Oryctolagus cuniculus: one gene and its partners. The protein of the gene in region 2 interacts with the protein of the main gene of each other region in a biochemical or structural test. Links are inferred from orthologs where the notes say so. Each region holds a gene or a part of one and is shown on either strand. Other genes may lie near its edges.

Region 1 (3,652 bases), on a different chromosome or scaffold from region 2:
AACCTGGATTCAGTTCCTGGCTTCTGGGTTCAGTTCTGGTCCAGCCTTGGCTATTTTGGGCATTTAGAGAGTGAACCAGTAGATGTGAGTGCATACTTTCTCTTTCTCTCAATTATTTTTTAAAACAAAAAATTTATAATATGGACTCTCTTGGTTTATTTAATTGATTTTAGTGCAAAAAAATCTGACTTTTCTTAGGACAGGAATTTGCCATGGTCTTACCTCCAGCCAGCATTGCAGTAAGTACTATTCCACAGGACCAAACATCAACTGGTTCTGCATGAAAATCTTTTCTCTTCAGAAGCTCTGGAGCAACATAAGGTAATGTACCACACATCTTGTTCAATAAACGCTCACGATTATTATGCCGAAACACTGTGGCCAAGCCAAAGTCGGAGATTTTGAGGTTATCTAAACAAAAAGAAACAAGGATGACATTGAACATTTTGCAAACAGATAAAGGAATTAATTTCTATTGGAAAAATCACTCGTGTTACTTAAAATTCATAGAACTTTCTCTACCTTAAATGAAAATATTCTCTACCTTAGATGAAAAAAATAAACAAAAAGAAATGTTTAAATGTAAGAAAAAGTAAAAGGCATTACCACCTATACCAAAGTTAGGAAACAGATTCATCTCTTCCATTAACTTAAGAGAAGTATCAACACACACCAACAGTTTAGACTAAGTTAAAGGAAAATGTTGGAGTCACAGGGGCTATGTGGGACCAGCACTATGGCATAGCAGGTTAAGCCACAGCTTATAGCACCAGCATCCTGTATGGGCACCAGTTCAAGTCCTAGCTGTTCCACCTTCAATCCAGCTCCCTGCTAATGAGCCAGGGAGGACAGAAGAAGATGGCCCAAGTACATGATCCACTGCCACCAACATGGGAGACTGGGCTCCTGGCTTCAGCTTGGCCCAGCCCCAGTAGTTGAGGTCATTTGGGGAATGAACCAGCGGATGGAAGATCTTTGTCTCTCCTTCTCTCTCTGTAACTCTGCCTTTCAAATAAATAAATCAATATGTTTTAAAGGGCGGGGGGGCTGTGTTTCTAGAAAAGAGCATTCCCAAATTCCAAACATGAGCTGAAAGTAGAGCAATGCCTTTCATCACATAGCATGGAGGGCAGGAAGAAAACAACAGTTACACATTAGGCACACCGCAGTCAGGATTTTCAACTTAATTTACACTTGATGAATACTATAACCAAATGACAGATATTATATTAGCCAATGCAGGTGGTAGATAAATCATTGAAAAAGATAATAGATAATTATCATGAAGTTTATGAAAATACAGAAAATCATAAGGATCTAACCCAGACCCGTAAGTAAGGGAAAGCCATCTATAAACCTTTTTAGATGATAAAAACTGATAAAACCTTTTTAGAAGGCCATATGGCAAAAGATGTCAAAATTTGAATATTCATTCCTTGAGTCAGCACGTTCCATTTTTTTTTTCATTAGACAGGAAGAGTGAGAGAGACAGAGAAAGGCCTTCCTTCCATTGGTTCACCCCCTAAATGGCCACTACGGCTGGCACGCAGCACCGATCCAAAGCCAGGAGCCAGGTGCTTCCTCCTGGTCTCCCATGTGGGTGCAGGGGCCCAAGCACTTGCACCATCCTCCACTGCCCTCCCAGGCCACAGCAGAGAACTGGACCAGAAGAGGAGCAACGGGGACTAGAACCTGGCACCCATATGGGATGCTGGCGCCACAGGCGGAGGATTAACCAAATGAGCCACGGCACCAGCCCCAGCACGTTCCCCTTCTAAGACCATATCCACAGAAACAATCCCACAAATTCAAACACAAGGATACTCAAAGCAATACTATTGGTAAATAACTTAAACATCCATCAGTAAAAAGACTATTTAATCTCATAACAATGTGTACAATGAAAACTATGGAGGTAGCTACTTTAAAAAAAAAGCACAAGATATATCCACATTCACTGCCATTGAATTTTGGGATATAAACCAGGAAAAAGGCTAGTGCTGTAACAAATTTTTATTATAACATGACTCAGTTTTTGTGCTGGACCAGTGCACAAATATATAGAAGAGGAATCACTATTCTATTTAAGTTAGAAAGTTAATGCCTCAAAATAGGGGACTGATTCTTTAAAAAATCAAGTACATTCACACAACATAATATTTAAGTAATCCTGATATTTACTTGTATTTGACTTCAGAGGTAGCCAGAGTGATCTATCCTTTAAATAGCTATCTGTAACTTTTTTTAAAAAAGGTTTATTTATTTGAAAGAGCTACAGAAAAAGGAAGAGAGAGAGAGAGAGAGAGAGGGGAAAGGGGGAGGGGAGGGGAGGGGAGGGGAGGGGAGGGGAGGGAGAGGGAGAGGGAGAGGGAGAGGGAGAGAGAGGTCTTCCATCCACTGGTTCACAGTTCATAGAAAAGTGGAATTAGAAGATAAGTGTATTTTTTAAAAGATTATTTTTAAATTTTTTAAAGCTTTATGAAAAAACTAGCAGAAGGCTAAGTAACTAAATTACATGGTTGGACAAGATCTTGAAAGTACCTTAGTCCTATTAGTCAAGTTTTTAAATTATCTTTAAATATTCCTGATAATTAATTTTTTGGTGCCGGCACTGTGGCGCAACAAGTTAAGCATCTGCCTGCGATGCCAGCATCTCATATGGGCAACAGTTTGAGACCCAGCTGCTCTATTTCCGATCCAGCTCCCTGCTAATGCGCTGGGAAAGCAGCGGAAGATGGCCCAAGTACTTGGGTCCCTGCAACCACCTGAGAGACCTGGAAAATGCTCCAGGCTCTTGGCTTCAGTCTGGTCCAGCCCTGGCCATTGTAGCTATTTGGGGAGTGAACCAGTGGATGGAAGCTCAATCTCTCTCTCTCTCCTCTCTCTCTCTGCCTCTCCCACTCTGTAATCCTGCCTTTCAAATAAATATTAATTAAAAACATCCTTGAAAAATTACTTAGTGTTTGGCTCTGATGTTATGAAATCCCAAAGCAACCTATTCCAGTTTTGAACAGATCCATTCATGGGAGTCAACAATCCCAAAAGCAACTTAATAGATTTGATCCATAAAAAATAATGTGTATATATACACACACACACACAGAAAGAAGAAAAAAGGGGATGGGGGCGGGGCATGTTAGCATTATGGCCAAGGAGGATAAGCTGCTATCTACAGCGCCAACATCCCATAGGCAATAGTTCGAGTCCTAGCTGCTCCACTTGCAATCCAGCTCCCTGCTAACATGCCTGGGAAGGCAGCAGAAGACAGCCCCTGTGACCACATGGGAAATCTGGAAGACACTGGCTCCTGGCCTCAGCCTGGCCCAGTTCTAGCTGTTGTGGCCATTTATGGACTGAACCAGTGGATGGAAGATCAATCCCTCTCTCTGTCTCTCCTCTTCTCTCAGTAACTCTGCCTTTCAAATAAAATAAATCTTAAAAGCATAATAAATAAAAAAATAAAGATATGACCCACTTCTCTTATCTGCTAAGTTCATTCATTTAATAAGTATTTCTGAAAGCTGACTTTTTGCTAGTTTACAGCATTAAACAAAATAAAAATCTCTTCCTCACATAGCTAACATTTCTTTACTTTTTAAAATTCTCACTCTACAATCTAACACTTTCACTAACTATCCCTCTCAGTTATATG
Region 2 (4,199 bases):
AACTTAAGGCTGGGTCACATGTAACTTTACCAAGAAGCATACACAAGAGTTTTTGGAGAACTAATTTCCATATATACATACACACACACACACACACACACACATATATATACATACACACACACACATACATATATATGCATTTCTAAAACTGACCTGAGAGGGTGAGGTACATCTTTCTCTACCTTCATCATTTCCTTTAACAAAGAAAAAAAAAGGCATTCTCCATTTCCCAACTATATACCTTACACTGACTCAAGGTATAAAAACTCCTAGGTATCAATTAAATATTTTTAAGTAAAACCAAAAGCCTTCTGGTATCCCACCTGAGATAACTGGATCATTTATTTAAGAATAGCACCACAAACACCCAAATCCACCTTTAAAACATGTAATTTCAATAAAAGTTACTTTTTAATAATTATTCATCAAAACTGATCATATATTGTTTTTATCAATCACATACTAAAAACTGTAATGAAAATTAAACCCAGGAGAAACATTTAACATTAAAGCATTATGATAACAGAAAACAGCAATTTAAATGTACTTTTGGACACAGAAGGACAAGACAGGATTATCAGTAAAAGGACTTTTCAAGTATACAACAACTTATATTAGGTTAAGTTCTGTAGGAGAAATACAGTAGAAATAACTTCAAGAGAAAAAAGCAACTGCATAGAATATTCTGCAGTTAAGGAAGAGTTTATTCATATTTTTAAACAGATGATGTGATTATTAAATCAGTATTCATTCTACCAGATAAATTTAGAAGAGTTAGTATTTTTAAGATGTCAGTACTCACAATATAGCCACAAATCATGTTCTTAGCATCTATTTAAACTTGTGATAAAAATTCCAATTCCTCTTTTAAAACAATGGGGCTACTCCTGTAGGTCACACAGAAGGTTCAGAAGGCAAATTATGTTTGGTTTTGGGAATTTGCATTTCAGGTGCTCACAGGAGCCACAAAGTGGGGGGGCACAACCCATACAGCTTTTTTAGAAATGAATCTAAAATATAGGTAGGAGATTAAAGGTTATACGTACTAGTTTAAGAAGTCCTAGTTATGGCTGTGATTACCTATGGCAATAGGCAAAAGGGGCCAAGGATGGAACACTAACATTTAAGGATAAGGAGAAGGTAACTGAATATTTAAATGGGCAACACATAATGAGTGAATTTTAGTGCTTACCACATTAACAATGAATGAGTACTCGTGAATAGGAGAGGAAGGAGAAAAAGTAGACAGATGTATTGGAGAATTAGGAGAAAATCTGTCACAAAATAGAGGCTCAATAGTTTGCCCCAGGTCACACGAAAAGTAAGGAGTGGAGTTGTAATTAAAACCCAGGCAGTTAACTCCAAAGACAATCGCATTCTTAACCACCGTGCTGCACAGCCCTCCGAGACACAGAGGACAGAGAGGTGTTCAGCAAGTTCCTAGGAGAGACAGAGAGAGAAGGATTTAGAGTGCAACCACAAAGGTTAGCTCAGAGGCAAGAGGGAAAGCAGGATAGTTTTAGATCTGGAGCAGGAAGTGCAGGCAATCACTCTTCAGTCTTATCAACATCCATTTTGAGACCCATTCCTTAAATAAAAAGTTCCTTTCTCAGTCTTTCCTTTATCTTTGTCTTTTCCACATGGTTACCATGGGCAGGGGGACCTCTGGGTATTGCACACTTCTAAAAAAAATGAGATTTCATTTCCGTCCCGGGTTAGTCTAGAGAGTTAACCCCTATTTCAGAAAAGTATCAAAAATTTCAGGTCGATGATACCCAAACCTAAGCTCAAATCTCCTTGTGCCAGTGATTTAACTCTTATAACCTAGAGAACTGCAGAAAATGAGCTGGATTTCTACAGGCGGACACGGGAATAGGGACAACTTAACGCTGCTAAAAAGAAAAACAAAACGTTTTGATTTCATTTCTGAAAATATTTCTTTCCGGACATCCAACAAATCTAGAATAATATACTTCAACCTATTAACCGCGGCCGTCCCCGGGGGACGTGGTTATGGGCATCTTGGACGCTACAGTTCGGAATTTTTATGGCTGTGTGGAAAGGGGGGGAGGCTGCATTTCGACCCGGCGGAGAGCAGATGTCCTGTCCTCTCTGCCCGATCGAGGTCCTCCGCAGCGCTCACGTCCGCTGCGATCACAAATAGTGGGGTTCTCTAGGGTTCTACCACGAACTAACGGGCTAACTAATGGATCCGAGCCTGGACGGTCTCACGGAGCTGCTGAGAGAACACATGGCATGCCTTTCCCAGTTAACGCGCAATATAGACGTAAGCCATAAGGGCCGGCCTCCGTCCCTCCTTCCCTCGGCCTACACCACGATGCAAAACGCCCGTTCGCGACCAAAAATGTCCTGCAGGAACGCACGCCCCGCTTTCTTCGGCACTCCTCGCGAACACCAACCCCGTCCCGCCGTGGGAGAACTCGAAAGCGGGGACCTAGGGCTGGAGTCGGCCCCGATCCAAGGCGGCGTGTGTTTGGGGGGAGGAATCCCGCCAGCGAGCAGCAGCGGTTGAAGACCGTTACTCACCATTCCTCAGAACGCCAAGCTGGGGCTGGCGGAGCACCGAATTGAAGAGCATGAGGGCCGAAGGAAGAGACTCAAGTGAGAGAAAAGCCGTGAAAACGCCCCCCCAAGCCCCGCAGAAGCCGTAGCTTGCGCCCCTCGCAACGCGACTCGTTTTTGCCTCCAACTCCCGCCACTGGGAGCCCCGGCCGCCAAACTCCGCGCCAAACTGACGTCACACGCTCTGATTGGCTCCCGGGGCGGCGTCCGGCCGTCTCAGAGTCACTTCCCCCTTGGAATCCCCGCCTCCTTTTCTCCCAGCCGCGGGAACCTAGGGTTCGGGAGCTCCCTGAGCGCCTGCGCGGGGGGCCGCAGAGGCGCCGGCGAACCGTGGGGTGACCGGGGCGCATGCGTGGCACGGCTTGACAGAGCGCGGAGGAAAAATCCGCGAGAAGGCGGCAGGAGAAGATGGCGGTGCTGGGGCAGAGTTTGTGATCTGTCTGACTGGGCTAGTCGAGTAACTATTCGAGTCATGGCGTCAAACTCAACTAAGTCATTCCTGGCAGATGCCGGCTATGGCGAACAGGAACTGGATGCTAACTCTGCTCTTATGGAATTGGACAAAGGTATTCGAAAGAGCGGGCTGAGCGGGGGACCGGGCGTGGGGGAAGTGGCGCCGCCAGGTGGTGGCAGCCTCTGGAGGGGCTGGGAAGGCGCATGCGCGCAGCCTCGCTGGGCGGGCGGCGCCTAAGCTTTTCTGGGGCCAGGGCTTTGGCGATCTCCGGATCCTGCAGGAGAACTGCAGGGTCGCCTGATGGACTTTGCGTCCGCTGAACCAGCAGCGAGCTCTAGTGGGGGTCCCGTTTTGACCGCTTGAGGGCACAGTCCCCCGATTTTCCAAACAGCGAAAGTGGCTAGTTCCTAAAAACACCAGGTTGAAATTGTGAAAATATTCTTGAGTGCTTGCAGTTGCGACCAGGTCTTCATCACGACTTTGGCACTGACTTTGTAGCTCTTTGATTTCCGCAGCTCTGTGGCCTGCGGGTTACAAGGTAGGTTAAAAATGACCAAGATCACCCGAAAAGCATGGCCTGTGCTCATTCCCTGGACACAAGTTGCATGAGTTCGGTTTCCTTACAGGGGGCAGCTTGGCGTAGTAGAAGGAACTTTGGGGTTCTACTGAGTTGAATTTCAGTTCTGCTCATTTTGGGATCTTGGACGAGTCACCTAACTGCACCTAGCCTCGACTTACTGTCTGCAAAGTGGGTCCAGTGCCACTGAGCTGGAGAGATTTGTAATTATTAAGTGATATAATTGTATGCAAAAGAAGCATTTATTAAATGCTGAAGAGGTACGCTTTTCTGTATAGATGTGAATATAGGAGGCAAGGCGAATATTTATTAGTGAAGAACTCGAGTATGAACATGGACCCTATGATTCAGTATACTTCAAGGACTTCTGTTGCATAGGGGAAGTATTTTATCAGCTGATGTACACTTAATATTGGATTATGTGTAGCCCGTGTATTATCATAGAACTGGACTGGAAGTCAGAAGGATCCTTTTTTTTTTTCCTAAGATTTATTTATTTAATTGAAAGAGTTACACAGAGAGAGGAGAGGCCAAGAGAGAGAAAAGTCTTCCATCCGATGGTTCACTCCCCAACTGGCCACA
Region 3 (2,518 bases), on a different chromosome or scaffold from region 2:
TCAACTCCGCTGGCCACAGCCAGGAGCACTTAGCGGCCACACAGAGCAGCCAGGTGGGCTGCCGGGCAGGGCTGTGTGAGACGGGTCCAGTTCTGCTTCTCGCTGGATGAGGCGGCCCCCAGCCCACCTCCCACCCCGGGGCTTCCAGACAGGAAGTAGGGAGACAGCCCCGAGACAGGCAGCAAGAACTGCACCCAAAGCCGAACCACAAAGAGCTCGATCAGCCCAGGCCCGTGGCTGGCGGGGCGCGGGGCGGCCACGCGAAGCAGCCGCGGACTTACCAGTAGGTTTTGCTCAGATACTGGAAGTAGTACATGTAGCAGCCCGTGGAGGGGTCCTGGGCGTACAGAGCCTCGCGCTTCTTGGCATCGGTGATCTCGATGAGGTCGCCGTGGTACTCCACCACAAAGTCACCCCGGGAGAACTGCTTCGTGGCAATTACGCCCCTGCCTTTGCCGTCGATGAGGTCAATCTGCCAGGAGGCGGCGAGAGAGCATTGGTTTTTAATAGCAGTGGCGGCTGCAAGGCACGGGCCTTCCTGGGGGCCCGCCAGGGGCAAGCTTTATCTTATTATTATTTTCAAATTTTCAGGATTCATTTATTTACGTGAAATGCAGAGTTACAGATAGAGAGGGAGAGACAGAGCTCTTCCACCTGCTGGTTCATTCCCCAAACACCAGGGCTGACCCAAGCCAAAGCCAGGAACTCCATCCGGGTCTCCCACGCGGGTGCAGGGGCCCAAGCACTTGGAGCATCTTCCGCTGCTTTCCCAGGACCCTAGCAGGGAGCCGGATCGGAAGCAGAGCAGCCGGGACACAAACTGGCGCCCACACAGGATGATCGCGTTGCAGGCAACAACTTCACTCTAAGCCCCAACACTGGCCCCAGGAGCAAACCACACTGAAGAGTGGATACAGCTGTGCAGCCACCGCCGCACCCCAACTTCAGAACTCCTGTGTCCCAGGGCACCAGTGTGCCCGTGTGCAGGGTCCCGGAGCACCAGTGTGCCCGTGTGCAGGGTCCCGGGGCACCAGTGTGCCCGTGTGCAGGGTCCCGGGGCACCAGTGTGCCCGTGTGCAGGGTCCCGGGGCACCCGTGTGCCCGTGTGCAGGGTCCCGGGGCACCCGTGTGCCCGTGTGCAGGGTCCCGGGGCACCCGTGTGCCCGTGTGCAGGGTCCCGGGGCACCCGTGTGCCCGTGTGCAGGGTCCCGGAGCACCAGTGTGCCCGTGTGCAGGCACTGCACGAGGTCCCCAGGGCAGAGCTACCCCAATGCTGCAGATCAGCAGACCCGGGCTCACAGAGCACAGCCATGTGGCTGAGGCCACAGAGCCAGGAACTGCACCGCATAGCCTCGGCCTCGCCGTTTAGGTTCCAGTGCCAAGAGCAGGGCCCGGGGGCTGGCGCTGTGGCACAGCAGGTAAGGCTACCGCCTGCAGTGCCGGCATCCCATATGGGCACCGGTTCGAGTCCCGGCTCCTCCTCTTCCCATCCAGCTCTCTGCTATGGCCTGGGAAAGCAGAAGATGGCCCAAGTCCTTGGGCCCCTGTACCTACCCCTGGTTTTGGATTGACAAAGCTCTGGCCATTGCAGCCATCTGGGGAGTGAATCACCAGATGGAAGACACCTCTCTCGCTGCCTCCGCCTCTGCCTTCAAATAAATAAATGAATCTTTGAAAAATAAAAAAGTGCAGGGCCTGGGTCCCAGTCTCCCCTCACTCCCTGCCAGAGCTCCCCTTGCTCCATCAAGATGGAGTCAGGGCGGGGGCTTTAGGGGCCCGGGACTTGAGCTCCGATTCCGTTTTGGGGCTGTGGGGTGGGCACTGAAGATTTCTGAGCCCAGGGCCAAGTCCAGACCCACCAGGCCACCCCAGCATAGAGTGGAGAGTTACTCCCCTCTCCCCAGAGCGCGGGTCACTCGGGATTGCCATTGCGCAGGACAAGAGTTCAAGACAAATGTATCAGTTTCCCCTTTGATATAAGTCAAAGCAGCCGGACCCGGCCAGCTGCACACCCACACTGTGTGGCTCAGGCGGCAGGACGCACCGGGGGACAGATCCAGGGCCCAGAGTGTGCCGGGCTGGCAGGGGAGCAGGGTAAGTTCTGGAACTGGGTAATGGTGATGGTTACACAACATCCTGACTGCGCCCCATGACACACAAGTGTCCACTTTAAGAAGACATGTGTTCTATTATGGGCACTTCACCACGACTTTAAAACCTTCCCCCCGGGTAACACGGACGCACAAAGCCCATTTATGTTTCCTTCATGAAGCAAGCGTCTCCTTGGCAGTGTGAGTGCCTGGCTCTCTGACACCCCAGGAGCCTGACCAGTCCCTGCGACACTGGTGGCCAAAGCCGCAGGCGGCCCCCCCACGCCGGCTGTGAGTGGACAGCCTCGGCCACGCCCACCCTCGGCCACGCCCACGGGCTCTGCCGACCCTTACCTTCATCCCTTCTTCCTTCCCGCTCTCGATCAATTCATCTATTCTTTTCCGTTCTTCCGACTGGGGGGAGGAGA

The links.
Region 1: of the proteins of DTL (region 2) and CHEK1, one has a biochemical effect on the other in vitro, tested with the Homo sapiens proteins (2 studies listed by BioGRID). The link is inferred for Oryctolagus cuniculus from reciprocal best matches to the Homo sapiens genes DTL and CHEK1.
Region 3: the proteins of DTL (region 2) and KMT5A form a complex in vitro, tested with the Homo sapiens proteins (2 studies listed by BioGRID, with this or other methods). The link is inferred for Oryctolagus cuniculus from reciprocal best matches to the Homo sapiens genes DTL and KMT5A.

The regions. Positions count from the first base shown.
Region 1 is NC_091432.1:118,833,288-118,836,939, reverse strand, and holds part of CHEK1 (serine/threonine-protein kinase Chk1), read right to left. Parts: intron 412-3,652; coding exon 223-411; intron 1-222. UniProt on the Homo sapiens protein: Serine/threonine-protein kinase which is required for checkpoint-mediated cell cycle arrest and activation of DNA repair in response to the presence of DNA damage or unreplicated DNA.
Region 2 is NC_091444.1:26,552,159-26,556,357, reverse strand, and holds the start of DTL (denticleless protein homolog), read right to left. Parts: upstream 2,902-4,199; 5' UTR 2,603-2,901; coding exon 2,551-2,602; intron 2,523-2,550; exon of another isoform or gene 2,388-2,522; intron 1,269-2,387; exon of another isoform or gene 1,196-1,268; intron 198-1,195; exon of another isoform or gene 176-197; coding exon of another isoform or gene 157-175; intron 1-156. Other genes in the region: INTS7 (integrator complex subunit 7), read left to right, coding at 3,059-3,152. UniProt on the Homo sapiens protein: Substrate-specific adapter of a DCX (DDB1-CUL4-X-box) E3 ubiquitin-protein ligase complex required for cell cycle control, DNA damage response and translesion DNA synthesis.
Region 3 is NC_091452.1:5,945,713-5,948,230, forward strand, and holds part of KMT5A (N-lysine methyltransferase KMT5A), read right to left. Parts: intron 2,505-2,518; coding exon 2,445-2,504; intron 473-2,444; coding exon 282-472; intron 1-281. UniProt on the Homo sapiens protein: Protein-lysine N-methyltransferase that monomethylates both histones and non-histone proteins. Specifically monomethylates 'Lys-20' of histone H4 (H4K20me1).